Danio rerio: one gene and its partner. The protein of the gene in region 1 interacts with the protein of each later gene in a biochemical or structural test. Links are inferred from orthologs where the notes say so. Each region holds a gene or a part of one and is shown in the gene's direction. Other genes may lie near its edges.

What was found.
Region 2: the proteins of waca (region 1) and rnf40 form a complex in vitro, tested with the Homo sapiens proteins (2 studies listed by BioGRID). The link is inferred for Danio rerio from reciprocal best matches to the Homo sapiens genes WAC and RNF40.

Annotation. Positions count from the first base shown.
Region 1 is NC_133187.1:25,083,447-25,091,695, forward strand, and holds the start of waca (WW domain-containing adapter protein with coiled-coil), read left to right. Parts: upstream 1-3,406; 5' UTR 3,407-3,595; coding exon 3,596-3,636; intron 3,637-3,814; coding exon 3,815-3,848; intron 3,849-4,640; coding exon 4,641-4,827; intron 4,828-8,249.
Region 2 is NC_133187.1:30,766,193-30,773,164, forward strand, and holds the end of rnf40 (E3 ubiquitin-protein ligase BRE1B), read left to right. Parts: intron 1-951; coding exon 952-1,077; intron 1,078-1,218; coding exon 1,219-1,359; intron 1,360-1,443; coding exon 1,444-1,545; intron 1,546-3,239; coding exon 3,240-3,416; 3' UTR 3,417-4,146; downstream 4,147-6,972.

The DNA of each region.
Region 1 (8,249 bases):
TTTTTATTTTTTGTTTAATTATTATTTTTTGACTGTTGTTTGTTATTGATTTATTATAATTTTATTTTATTTTTAATAAAAAAAATATATTTTCAAGGGAATGTCTGCAAAAATTTCTAATAATAAAAAATTTAAACCAGAAAAGGGCTGATAAATTACACACTGGCATCAATAGATTCATCAAGACCCTTTTAAATCCAAATTGAAAAAATATACTTTAGTACTTTAGTATATTGCTCTTCGTACTAAGAATAATAAATTATCTTCTGGTTTAATGCATCACTGGAAAACACACTTCTTAAACTTTAAAGTTAAAGCTATTAAATTATTCAGAAAATCTGTTTTATTTTGTACATTTCTTAACAGTGTAACATGGAAAATGTGTAAACTTATTCTAGAAGCACATGTGCTCAAGAGCTGATAAAGGACTCGAACAATCAGTGTGCTGATGCACCTGCTTTCATTGTTAGAAAACAGTGTATCCAACAATGATGCTAAAAGAGGATTTTTGCTGTTTAGATATTTGGAATAAACTATGAGCAAATAGTTGAAAAACTTCATGACAATAACTCCAGTTTTTTATGGGGAGAGTACTATAGACACAACATAATGTCATGGAGCTTAATTTTTAGACATTCAGAGAAACAGTATGGATTTGACTGTATTAACACTCTTTTATACAATTTTAATGTGACCTATGACAGTCTTAGAAACCATTAATAACTGATAAACTTTGCAACACATGCACAGATTAACTTTGCAACACATGCACAGATTAACTTTGTAACACAAGCACAGCTGTTGAACCAAACTAAATCATTTGAACCCAATAATGCATGCTTGTACTGCTTCATTAAATTTGTTTCATATCGTAACTGATTAACTTTGCAACATTAAAGGGACAGTTCACCCAAAAAATGATAATCCACTCACTGTTTACTCACCCTGTAGCTGAAAACATATAACCACTGACTTCCATGGTAGGAAAAACAAATACAGCAGTCAATGGTGACAGGTTTTTAGTTTTTTTCACAATATCTTATTTTGTGTTCAACAGAAGAAAGAAACTCTTGGGTGAGTAAATGATGATCAACATTTCCGCCTTGGGTATACTGTCGCTTTAACACCATTAATGAAATTAACCGAAGCAACTTTTAATGGAACTGCCACTAACAGGTTACTTCTCACTTTAAATTTAAGCTATTAAGTTTAAGATGAAGTTTGTATCACTTTTATATTCCTGTTTATGTCAGTGATGCTGCATGGTTTAAAACAATCTGTATAAGTTTGTTTCAGTAGAATTCAAATGTATGAAGTGCACTTTATGTAATCAATATACAAATATCAAGGTAGTAAATATGCTATTTCACTATTTTCACTTTATTATTTATACTGAATTTTCCCACTTTTTAGTTTTTACGTGTACTGTAAGGCAAGGCAAGTTTATTTTTATAGCACATTTCATACACCATGGTAATTCAAAGTTCTTTATTCAAAGAAAGAAAGAAAGAAAGAAAGAAAGAAAGAAAGAAAGAAAGAAAGAAAGAAAGAAAGAAAGAAAGAAAGAAAGAAAGAAAGAAAGAAAGAAAGAAAGAAAGAAAGAAAATACAAGGAAAAAACTAAAAATAAAATGATTAAAAACAGATTAAAATGTGTTAAACAGCTTTTAAAAGAAAAAAAAGAAAAAAAAAGACATATTAGTGTGATCTGTCAGACATAGCACAGTGATCATTCAGTAAAGGCACAGCTAAACAGATGTGTTTTAAGTCTTGATTTGATTGTACCTGTTGTTGGAGCACATCTGATCATTTCTGGAAGCTGATTCCAGCAGTGGGGGTGTAGCTGAAAGCAGATTAACCCTGCTCTGAATGAACTCTTGAAATTTTTAATTTACTGTATAAATCTCAGAGTGCTCACACTGTAAAAAACTATATGACAAAAGTTGGTAACAAATGTTTTTTTTTTTAATTCACCCATTCATTCATTCTTTTCAGCATATGTTTCACGCAGCAGATGCCCTTCCAGCTGCAACCCATCACTGGGAAACATCCATACACTCTCATTCACACACATACACTATGGACTATTTAGCTTACCCAATTCACATATAGCGCATGTCTTTGGACTTGTGGGGGAAACCGGAGCACCTGGACGAAACCCATGTGAACACAAGGTGAACATGCAAACTCCACAAAGAAATGCCAACTGACTCAGCCAAGATTCAAACTAGCGACCTTTTTACTGTGAGGCGATCCACTGCGCCACTGTCCCATCAAAATGTTTTTTTATTGTTGTTTTGTTTATTTTTTTTGTTATACAAAGTTTATCTTAATATTTTAAATCAGTTTGACTGATGTAAGTTGAGATGACTAGAAAAGCTATTTGATTCATCCAAAACAAATGGCAGCAAGATTTTTTTAAAGTACAATGTGTTTTTGTTTGGACTGCAACTACAAGTGAACTTATAAAATACAATACTGAAAGGGTGAATAGCACTTTCTTTAGTTTATTAATTGAAGTCTATTATCAGTACAAGTTTTAATAAAACAATATGCAAACTTAAAATACTTATTTTTTAGCTTGGAATAAACAATTTTTTGAAGAGCTGACAGGGTTTTAAATCTGCAATAACTCAAGTTTGAATGCAACTGAAAATCTGTATGACCTGTAAATATCCACCCACACTCTTCATCTCATTTGGCAGAACTGGCACAAAATTTACATGGAAAAACAGACAAAAATCCAGACTAAATGTGCACATATACATTACCCAAGAGAACCTACAGCTCTAATTGCTACTGGCAGATATTTTACGTTTAGAACATTAGTTTTAAAGCCAACTTAATTTATATTAGATTTAAAACACTATATTTTGCAATGAATGGTTTCAAATAACAATCTTGTTTTTTCTCACTTCATATTACCTGGAAGGACTCGGTTCCACTTGTGATATTTTTGACATTGTTCCTGTTGCTGTCTCATTTAAAAAGTGCGCTCACATCATGCATCTTTTCCCAGAATTCCCCAGACTCACTTGTTTTAGTGAGTCATACTGCATCAGGGCCTTTCTGCACTGCATCCATCTTCCAGTACTGACTCAACACGTCCAGTAGATGTCAGTATTGGGTTAAAATTGCTCGCACTGAAAGTCAACACTTTTCCAAACCTAAAATTGAATGAGAATTAAACTTCTTTGTGAGTAATTCAAGCACAGTTGGTTTAGACTTGTTTTATCCCAGTGAACATCCTCACCGATGCTTCGTGTTCACATGCGCTACTTACTTCAGAACTGTATTTGCGGCCGAAATATCCCGACAGTAGCCGAGTGTATCCGAAGCGAGCCCCGAAGTAACCCGGATTGAGGTGTGTGAGGAAGGCTGAGCTTCGCTGTTCTGTAGATAGGGGCAGAGTTTTGGTGTGTGTGTGAGTGGGAGATGGACCGAGGGCGCTCTACTGACTAGCAGAGGCGAAGAGCGACTCCAATAGCCAGAACTATTGAAATAATATACGCGATCGTGTCGTCGATAGCCCACTCCTAAAGCAAAATAAGTCGCCCATCTTTCACATCTACTTCACACACACTAACACGGCATTGATGGTAATGTATGCAAGGAAACAACCGAGACTCGGCGATGGGTAAAGAGCTGTTTTATACTACGATTTTCCTTCTCCGCTTTGACAATCCGCCATTTTTAGCCAAACCAAAATAAGTAGAAACTTAAGGAAGCCGATTCAGCTGTTGCAATTTCTAACAATGTTAGTCAAAATGGGTTTTGACTTTAATTTTGTCTCTCTTTTTTGTTTTATTTCATAGGTGCACCGACCGAAGGGATTCTCAGCCCTATCAGGTAGATCTGAAACAAATAAGATTAAAATGGGGTAAATCTAGTCCAGGCTTTTGAAGCAGTACAGGCCTCTGTGCGTAAAACAGAGCAAAAAAGTGTCGTATTTTTCCGGAGATCAGCTTAAAACGACAAACACGTATATTTTAGGATGTGAACATGAATTTACACTGTCGTAAATCGCTTGCCCGTCGAATTTATCACATTTTAAATGCGCCCAGGGCGCTAGCGACTTTAACAGGCTAACGTTAGCTTGCTAGCGGCTACACCAGGCCTGCGTTTACTGCGAGTTTCATCAAAATTGGTAATATAAAATGTATTATCATGATATTATGGGGCATAATAAGATGTTTTAGAAAAACTTTTATGTCGTAAATATAATTTAAGGCCAAGAGGTTGTTTATAAACAGCCGTCTTGATAGCTAGTTAGTGCAACCATATCCAAATAAAACGAATGCAGTTATCGTGTAAATGATTAAGATATAGTTAAGAATGGCATAATTGTCCTTATAGACTTTCCATGTTACGTTAGTTAACTGAAAAAAGTAAAGATATGGTATGACAACATTAATATACATAATATAGTCCTATGAAATGTTTTATTAATTTAAAACATGTCAGATGTTTGTTTGCTAGTCAAAAACACCTTAGAGTAGCATCAAACATAGTCCTCTCAGGGTAAACAGGCTTGTCAGCTATGTAATATCAGCTATGTCCACTATAAACCAGCTCCTTAATGCATTTGAGAGAGAGTAATTGTGCAGCATAGTTCAATGCAGAAATGTCATGTTTTGACAGACTCTTAAGTACTCATCCAAGAGTCACCCGGATCACAGACATGAGAAGATGCGCGACAGTAATGATGCCACTCCACCATGCAAGATGCTGCGGAGATCAGACAGTCCAGACAATAAACACATGGACAACACTGGCCATGGCAGAGCAAAAGCCATCCATCCACACAGAGGGAGAGAGCGAGAAGGAGGTAAGAAGGGGAAGGCCGGGAGTCATATTGATCGTTTGATTAGATGCACAGGTCTGAGGCTGATACTGGTCATGGATCTGTGTTGTAAACCTTATGGCGTTCTCAATTAGTGCTTAGGTTTTTCTATAGAAACACAACTAGTCAGAAATCATCCTTTTGTGTTAGTCATGTTGCTGTGTTTGGTTAAAGAGACAAAGTTAAATGCATTTCACAGGGATTGCCTAGCTTTCAAATCAGAAATTGTGAGAGATAGAATTGTAATAATTTCATATCACTTGAAAATGTCCTGCAGAATTCCTAATGCTTTTTTGCCAGATCCACATGAGTTTATTGATATGGGAAACATTAAGCATGTTTTTAGCTATGCTAGAATAAATCTGTTTTTTATAGTTCTATTGGATAGTTTAACCAAAAATGAAAATTAAGACTATTTCCTCAGCATCATGTCTTTTGCATACCTGTGCTTGTTTTCTACTGCTCAAGCATAAAATAAAACATACTTTAAGTAATGTTCGGAACCAAACTGGTTTGAAGTGACGGTTGATTTATTATTAAATGGTTAAAAAATTGTTATTCATTTTTATTATTTATTTTATTCTTTTGTTTTAATACGTAGTTTTTATTATTATTACTTTGAAATGTAAGTTATACAATACAATAGTAATACATTTGTTAAAGTTTCTTGAATGAAACTTTATTGAATTAGCTGAACATTAAACAGAATTTCTGTTTTGGCAAGATGTCAAAATAAGATTTTTTGTAAATTAATAAATAGTTTTTTCTTGCATAAACCAATAAAATGTTGGCGACACTTTAAGCAGCTCTACAGATGAAGTTCACATTTCTTTCCGTATCATATGGGCACTCATGATTTTGATCGATCAAATGTTGCTATGTCAAGCTGGCAAGTCAAGTTTAGTTGAGTTTCACTGTGATCATCAGTTTCTTCATATACATTTCATGATATTTTACCACTTGATTCATTTGTTTATTTAGCCATTGATTTCTTAAAGCAGCAGTAGGTGATGGTCTTCAGAAAAAAAATTTGTTGTGCTGGTTAAAAGTCTATAGTAATGATTAAAGTAAATGATCTAAATGTATTTATATGTATTTTTATATTCTTGGGTAAGCCATAAGACAAAAAAAAGTTCATCCAATTAAATATTTTCGGACCTATAATTCCGATAAGAAGCCCAAACTGTCTGTCAACAAATGTAGATTTGAACAACTGCCAACCCGTTCGCGCAGATCGTGCCGTGCGTTTACACGGGCAGTGGACACGAGTGACAGTGCTGAAAACAATCTCATAATCAAAACTTTTTAAAATCCTAGATCAATATTGGAGTTACTTTTGCACTCTGTTGGAATGATGACTCCATGCCTGAAATATTTCTTTTAGACAGGTAATGGTATGTTTTGAAAGCATTTTAGTCATGCAAAGCTGATGTAGATTGTTAGGAATGGGTTATATGGACCCATTAGGAATGGGTTATATGGACAGAAGTGTTGTTCAGCCGCTGAAATCTTCCGGCAAAAGATGATGCAACTATTTTCAGTTTCATTAGAGACCTTTTACAGCATTGATTATTTTTTAGTTTAATAACAAAACATTAGTAAATAGCGCTATTCTGCCTAGCCTGCTTTACTAGGCTGAAGTTGCTTTTATATTCACATCACATTGGTTCATTTTTGAACAGTGACCACCTGTGACACGCTCCCTATATTGTTTACCATGCTACTCTGAATATTCGCTCTGAAACAGCATGTCAGTATGGCTTTGTATTAAGTGTAATTCCTGCATGCTGCCGGCCAATCAATAAGCATACATTAGTCGCTTTAGGACAAAACCTGTGAGATATTAAGACTGTTGAGAGAGTGATAACAGAGGGATGAAAAGGTTTGCTTGCTAACTACACAACTAAAAACATGCTATAAATAATACAGACTTTCATTCAGAACTGTAGTATTATAAAGTACTATAAAGCTTTCTAACTGGCAAATAACATGACCTAGTGGGTCTCTGTCATCTTTAATGTGCGTGTTCATAATTTGAGGAGGTGTGGCCTTGGACGACAGGGGAGGGATTGTGTTTCAAAGATGTTATGCTAACCGCTTAGCATTTAGACCGATCACCTACTGCACCTTTAACTCTTCAATTCACTGAGTTGGAAAATAGAGACCTCAACTGTATTAGTATCCAGAATAAAGTACCAGAACAAGATTATTTAAAGTGCTTAAGTCAGATCTGCTGTAAATAGTCTGAAATTCATTAATTTCTATGAGATTGTTCTTTTGTTATATAAAAATATAGGTACAAACTGTTTTTGATGGATCACGCTGATGTAAACACTTGTGCATGAATGCAATTATACATAAGATCTTTTAAAAAATGTAATTTAATAGGATTATCATGTATACTGTTGTATTGTTATTGTAAACGCATTACTCTTGCTAAGTTTTTGTAAGTAATCTATATTGATTTCTAGTATTAAACTGAAACCTCAAATGCAAGGCCTTTCCTTTAGGGAAAAACATCCGCAATAAACAACTTTTTTGCATGTCTTTCCAAAGGATAACACTTTTGTCACATTAAGTTTATTTACAGAGAATGTAATTGTATTGTTTAATTTCTGTCAAATTTCTTACTGAATATAAATATTATTACTGGTAAATTAATGAATAGGAGCAATTTCAGCGTTATGGATGTGACATTTGCAGTGAAATCTCAAAACAAATTTACATAGAAAGTAAGTCAACCTTATAATAAAACATACTTTTATGTTTTCCAAAACTATTAACCACAGAGTTATGGGATCAGAAAAATATCCGTTTGTATACATTTTTTTATATTTTAAATCAGGGGTCACCAATCCTGGTCCTGGAGGGCCAGTGTCTCTGCAGGGTTTAGCTCCAACTTGCCTTAACACACCTGCCTGGACGTGTCAAGTATACCTAATAAGACCTTGATTAGCTTGTTCAGGTGTGTTTGATTAGGGTTGGAGCTAAAATCTGCAGGACACCGGCCCTCCAGGAACAAGTTTGGTGACCACTGTTTTAAATGAACGAAATAAACATGCGTTATGGCTGTGACACAAAAAGTCAGCGAGTTTACAGTCTACAACATACTTTGCAGAAATTTTGTGAATTAAACCGCTCAACCCAAGTGAAATAATGCTAATCAAAAGGAGAGGAAAAAGCTTGGTTATGGATGTGACATGAATTTGGCACTTGTGACTTTAGTAAATCAAATATAATTGTTTGAAAACATTGACAGATATTTGAGTTTTTTTACAGCACTGTAAAATACAAGCCTACACAAACTTAGAAAGGGTTTTGGTGAAATCTTTTTTTTTTTTTTTTTTAATTGCAAAGGTGACTTGCATGGAAATGCTCATAGAATAAAAGCATTAAGAATCATATCA
Region 2 (6,972 bases), about 5.7 Mb from region 1:
ATCCTTTTGATGCTTATGATATCCGATAATCCTTTGAGATGTGTAGTTAATTCATTATGTGGCAAGATCATAAGATTATATATAATTAGACTTGGTCATAGTCAATTTTTGTTTGGAACTTTAGTGCACAATTTACGCAATATATGAATGGCCCGTATGATTTCCTTTGAGCGAGAATGATATCGACTGCAACTTCCTGGCGTACATCATTTCTACAAAGTAAGGATACACGAGCCTGATCAGGTGACTTGTAGTGAACTGAACCGTACTGCTCAGTTGAAAAGAGGTATTAAAATGCATCCTTTCTCACTAGCTATTAAGCATGTTGTTTAGGTTAATTCATTCACTAATACAGTGTTTCTTTACCACGTTCCTGGAGGACCAACAACACTGCATGTATTGGATGTCTCCTTTGTCGGTCACACCCATTATAGGTCTTTTAGTGTCTGCTATTGAGCTTATGATCTGAATTAGGTGTGTTTGGTTAAGGAGACAAGGAAATGTGCAGAGCTGGTGGTCCTTCGGGAACGTGGTTGAGAAACACTGCACTAATAGATATGTGTCACTAAGTGGTTCCCAACAAAGTGTGATCAAACAAGAGGATAGACGGGTGATCACAAGAGATGCATGATAACATTAACTGAAAACTGTAAGGCATTTTAGCAAACCACTTAGTATCAGATCGATGAAAAACTCTGTTAATACCAGGTGTAAACAGGGCCCTTAACTACCTTTAATTCAGGGTAAAGTACCAGAAAGTCTAAAGCATCATCCCTACAAAAAGCAAATGTCTAGAAAAAAAATAATTGTGTGAATAGTTTGTCCATCCCTGCTTGAATGGAGGCCTCTCATGTCTTAAGGCAAAAAAGCCTGCACATAAAAGCAGTAAACAACTTCTGTTTTCACAATACTGCTGTGATTGCATCATCTCCTTTTTACTGCCCTTCCCAGGTGGACGCTCAGCTGCTGGTCGTACAGAAACTGGAAGAGAAGGAGGGCGTCCTGCAGAGCACGCTGGCCACGCTGGAGAAAGAGCTGGCGCTGCGCACTCAAGCATTGGAGCTCAACAAGCGCAAGGTAAATCCGGAAAGATCACAGACGCCCACCTCTGTTCTCATGTCCATGACAACCATGACTCAGCTTAACCAACCATTAGTGCACATTTCCAGATGTGTGTGTGTGTGTGTTTAATGCTTGTCTTTCTGCATGATGGCTCAGGCTGTGGAGGCGGCCCAGTTGGCCGAAGACCTTAAAGTACAGCTGGAACACACTCAGACCAAGCTGAGGGAGATCCAGGCCTCGGTACTAGACAACCGCACCGCCCGTGAGAGGGAGAGCGTCAACCTCAAGAAAGCACAGGTACATGGGCATGCGTGTTGTAGATGTGTTTACAGATGAGTGGGAAGAATGTGTAAAACATTGGTGTTCTGTTGCTTATTTCAGGAGGACTTATCCAGACTAAGGCGCAAGCTGGAGAAGCAGAAGAAGGTTGAGGTGTACACGGATGCTGATGAGATTCTGCAAGAAGAAATTAATCAGTATAAGGTGAAGATTTGCTCTTCAGTTATTCATTTGATGTATGTAATCAAAGGTTTAGGCACAGTAAATACTTTTTTTAAAATTCTGGTTCAAAAAGGATATGATCTATAGTGATTGATCTATAGTATGGTGTAAAATTTACTTCATAATTTTACAAGATGTTCAAGTAATTGCTGTTTTTGTTGTTTTGAATAAGATTTACCAAAGAATCCTAAAAATATTCTGCTGGAATTTCTTAAATGACATTTAACACTTATTTTAAATTGTAATCATTTTTCACAATAGTTCTGTTTTGTGTATGTTTTTAATATTGTTATTATTATGTATATAATATACACTTACCAGCCACTTTATTAGGTACACCTTACTAGTACCAGGTCGGAGCCTATATTGCATTCACAACTGCCTTAATCCTTCATGGCATAGATTCAGCAAGGTACTGGAAATAATCCTCAGAGATTGTGGTCCTTGTTGATATGATAGCATCACACAGTTGCTGCAGATTTGTCGGCTGCACATCCATGATGCAAATCTCCTGTTCCATCACATCCCAAAGGTTCTCAGTTGGATTGAGATCTGGTGACTGTGGAGGCCATTTGAGAACAGTGAATTCATTGTCATGTTCAAGAAACCAGTCTAAGATGATTTGTGCTATATGACATGGTGCAATATTCTGCTAGAAGTAGCCATCAGAAGATGGGTACACTGTGGTCTTAATGGGATGGATATGGTCAGCAACAATACTCAGGTGGGCTGTGGTGTTGACACGATGCTCAAATAGAATTAATGGACCCAGATTGTGCCAAGAAAATATCCTCCACACCTTTACACCACCAGCCTGAGCCGTTGATACAAGGCAGGATGGATCCATGCTTTCATGTTATTGATGCCAAATTCTGACCCTACCATCCAAATGTTGCAACAGAAATGGAGACTCATCAGACCAGGCAACATTTTTCCAATCTTCTATTGTGCAATTTTGTTGAGCCTGTGCGAATTGTAGCCTCAGTTTTCTGTTCTTAGCTGACAGGAGTTGGCCCTGGTGTGGTCTTCTGCTGATGTAGCCCATCCGCCTCAAGGTTGGACGTGTTGTGCATTCAGAGATGCTCTTCTGCATATCTCATTTGTAATGAGTGGTTATTTGAGTTAACTCAAAAAAAGTTGGCGTCACTTACACTTTTCAAATATGAACTTTTATAAGCAACTATTTTAAATGAAACCTGACATGTTTATGTCCCTCTAGTGAAAAGAAAAATGCATAGAATCTTATTATAAGACTTGTTTCATTTGTATTAGACTTTTTTTTTCAAACACCATTATGACCTTTTTGCATCTTTCAACATCACTCTAGATTGACATTTGTCACAGTTCTGTCACACCAAAAATTTTACATTGCTGTACTTCATTGGTTATTATGGAGGACATGAATAACAGTAATGAGAGGAGTATCACAGCGACAGCTCTATTAAAATATATATGGCTCCCATTTTACTTCATCGTCTTCATCTTTCGCATCAAGTTTACAAATTTTTGTTCTTTCTTCTTTTTATATAATGTTAAGATTTAATTCTCTAAAGAATTTATATTTGCACTGTTCAATTTGTATGTCATTATAATGGATTAAGCATCTAAACATTTGACTGGAATAGTAACTGTATCACTATTATTTGTGCCTAACCTGACTTTTCTATCTTTTCTAGGCTAAATTGCGTTGTCCCTGTTGTAATACTCGTGATAAGGAGACGGTCCTCACTAAGTGTTTCCACGTCTTCTGCTATGAATGCTTGAAGACTCGCTATGACACTCGCCAGAGGAAGTGCCCCAAATGCAACGCTGCATTCGGAGCAAATGACTTCCACCGTATCTACATCACTTAATTCACTCTGAACCTTTCTGATGGACTTTAAACATTAGATGGGAGAAAAAAAGAAGGGATGGAAGTGGTCTTGAACAGGATTACCATGGTGTGGTATTTTAAAATGCTCTAAAGGGCCGCTTCCAGTCTCATCTGTGATAGGTGGTGCTAGTGACCAAACAGACAGTGACAGAATGGAAACAGTTGTGAAGTAGTCATGGTCTACAGCACGTAAGCCATGCTCCTTCATCGCAGAGGAATCCATTGAGTTGTGTGTTTTTCTGTTTTTCTTTGCATTTTTAAACTTATTGTCGACTCCCCATGAAAAAAAGAGAGGAAAGACTGTATCTGCTTCTAAATATCATAACTTTACAGAACATGACTGACTGATGTTCACACAAATTGTTTTGTTTTGACAATTATGGCCTTATCCGTTTAAATCACACAGTAACTCTATCCAGAAACACAGCCAGTTTCCATGGCGACACTCAATGTTACTGAACCCCTTAAAGTTTAGCAATGAACAGATGTGATGGTACTGGGTGGAAAGAATAGACATGCATAAAATTAGAAACATAGATGGTGTTGCAGTGACTTTTTAAAGGCAAAACAAACATATTCATGCTAAAGTAAACGTCTCAGCCGATTTAGCTTTAGTCCGGTACAGTATATACCCCAACCAGTTCCAGATGTATCCCCAACATGTCAAACTACTGCACAGTTTCTTTAAATAATAAAAGCTGATACAGGTAGTTGTGAACACTTTCTGCTTTGATCTCAAACTAGACAGCAGTTTCCCCTTTGCATTTAAAAGCGAGTGTATAGTTTGTCATGATTGCTTCAAAAATGACTTTAATGATGTTATTGTTGTACTTGGTGGAAAATATACATCAAAACTGGACTTTCCAAAAGCAAAACTCAGAATTACTAGTCTATATGCTGTCTTCCAATGCAATGCATGTTTCTTCAGATGGTTTAAACAGACGTGCTTACTATTAGAAAAGACTCGCAAGTGGAGTCCCGAAGAGGGGAGGGGGAAAAACACGTTTTTTTCTCTCTTGCAAATTTTTGCTCGGAATATATATGTAAATGTTTTTCATCACATTGCGCAATTGACCTTATGTTATTCCCCGCAGCCATGGTTTTTTTCGTTCTGATCATATTAATAACCGTCTTGCTGCTTTTCCTCTCAGTCTGCGTTGTGTGAGTCTGCCAAACACTGAACTGTTGTTTGCTCTCTTGGCCCAGAGACAGTGAATTACGTAGTTGGGTGGGGTGACTTTAATGTGCCTATTTTGCTCAAACATACTTTGTACGAAGAGCCTGGGGTCTCTCGTGCTCTTACAAAAAAGCACTTATTTTCCACATGTTGTGTTGGTTTAAACGCGCGCTGCTTTAGGTTGTTTCCTGGTAAGTTAGGTCTGACATCATATATTCACGTCAATATGACCGCCGCCGATATCATAACGTCGTCGATTTCCTACTACAAGAAAATTGGTTACTCTTCCACTAAATGTGTCACTTCAAAGTAAAAACGAAACTGTTCGCAGACAACGAGTGTGTTGTGAGGCTGCCATCTACGGTGTCCCACTCGTGTTGTGAATACAGAGATTGTATGGCCGTGTTTCAAAAGTTGCCGATGTACACTTTTGAGAACTGAGCTTCGTTTTCATATGTGAAGGATTCCGCTTTACAACACAAGCCGGGATTCTTGACTGTTATACTTTTGCTTAAGTGCATTTGAGGAACGTCAAACAGAAATATTTTAGCCATTCATAATATCTTCATTCACATTTCTGAAAGATTTATGAATCAATGTTTCTGATTCAGGGAAAAGAATCGTTTTATTTGTGCAAAAAAAGGCATGTTGACTGTTTTGGGTTTGAAAATAATAAGTTCATCGTCATTTATTCTGAAATCAAACAACAGTGTATTTTTTTAGAGTAATTTGAATTCTTAGTACATTTGATTTCAGAGCCAATTACCAAAAGAATTCTGATTCTAAATGTTCTAAATATTATGAGAAAGAAATTAAATTCTTATATTTAATACCAGCAGATGAAACATTGCATTGATTCAGAAGGAATTATAAAAGTTTGATTCATTAAGAAAGTTAATTCGTGTGTGAAACAATGGAATATGCCATATGTTTTTTACTGAGAATTAGCTCAGTGTTCATAGGACATTCTGCCATTTATGGAAGCCCGTTGCCGCCACTGACTAATAAAAAAAAAAAAAAAAAAAATATATATATATATATATATATATATATATATATATATATATATATATATATATTTGAATATAAAGTCAGAATTCTGAGTTATAAAGTCACATTTCTGAGTTATAAACTCAGAATTTCAAGTCATAAAGTCAGAATTTCAAATTATAAAGTCAGATTTCTGAGTTTATAACTCTAAATTTTTACTTAATAGCTCAGAATTCTGAGTTGTATTACCTGAAATTCTGACTTTATAGCTAACTTGGAATTGCGACTTTATAACTTTCTGACTATAAGCTGGAATTCTGACTAGGTAACTTGGAAGTGCGACTTTATAACTTTCTGACTAAGCTGGAATTCTGACTAGCTAACTTGGAATTGCGACTTTATAAATTTCTGACTATAAGCTGGAATTCTGACTAGGTAACTTGGAAGTGCGACTTTATAGCTAACTCGGAACTGCGACTTTATAACTTGCAATTTTGCCTTTATAGCTTGGAATTTTGAGTTTATAACTAGCTCAAAATTACGACTTTATTACTCAGAATTCTAACATTATAGCTAACTTGGAATTCTGACTTCATAACTGCGAATTGCAACTAAAACTCAGAATTATGACTTTATAACCTCGAATTCCGACTTTATAGCCAACTCGGAATTGTGACTATAACTTATTCTGACTTTATAACTCGGAATTGCGACTTAAATTCAGAATTCTGACTTTATCCCTTGTTATTCTGAATTTGCTCAAAACTGCGACTTTATAACTCGGAATTCTAACTTCGTACCTCATTTTTCTAACTATAACTCAAAATTCGGACCTTTTTTTAGTATTTTTTTTTTTTTTTGTCAGTCAGTGGTGGAACGGGCTTCCATAGACCATTCTATCATGCAATGCAGTGTGAATTCTTTTTACAGAACATTGTTTTAATGTCCTAAGCTGAAGAACCTTTTGAATTTTTTTTTTCTGGATGAGCTACAAGTGTTCTGGGAAGTCAAGACTTGGCAAAATTGTCTCATGAATGTGGAATCAAAGAGTAGGCCTATAAGCCAAAAAATTGAGGGCTAAATGCTTTTGATACAACACAAGAACCATGCTTATTCTCATTCCTTCTGAAAGCTACCGAGCAAACAGAACGTCTACATGTGGTTCCCATTTTTTTTTTTTTTGGGAACCAATCTAGAAATTCTGGTGATGTTCTCAGAAGAACATACGTGGGTATGTTTTTGTATTATTTATTTAATCACGTTGCTGGAGAGATTTTTTGTACCAACTTATATAGAACATAAAACAGACAGATTAATGCACTCCTAGAGAGAACATTCTTTACGTAAAAGAAAACATCACTGACAAACT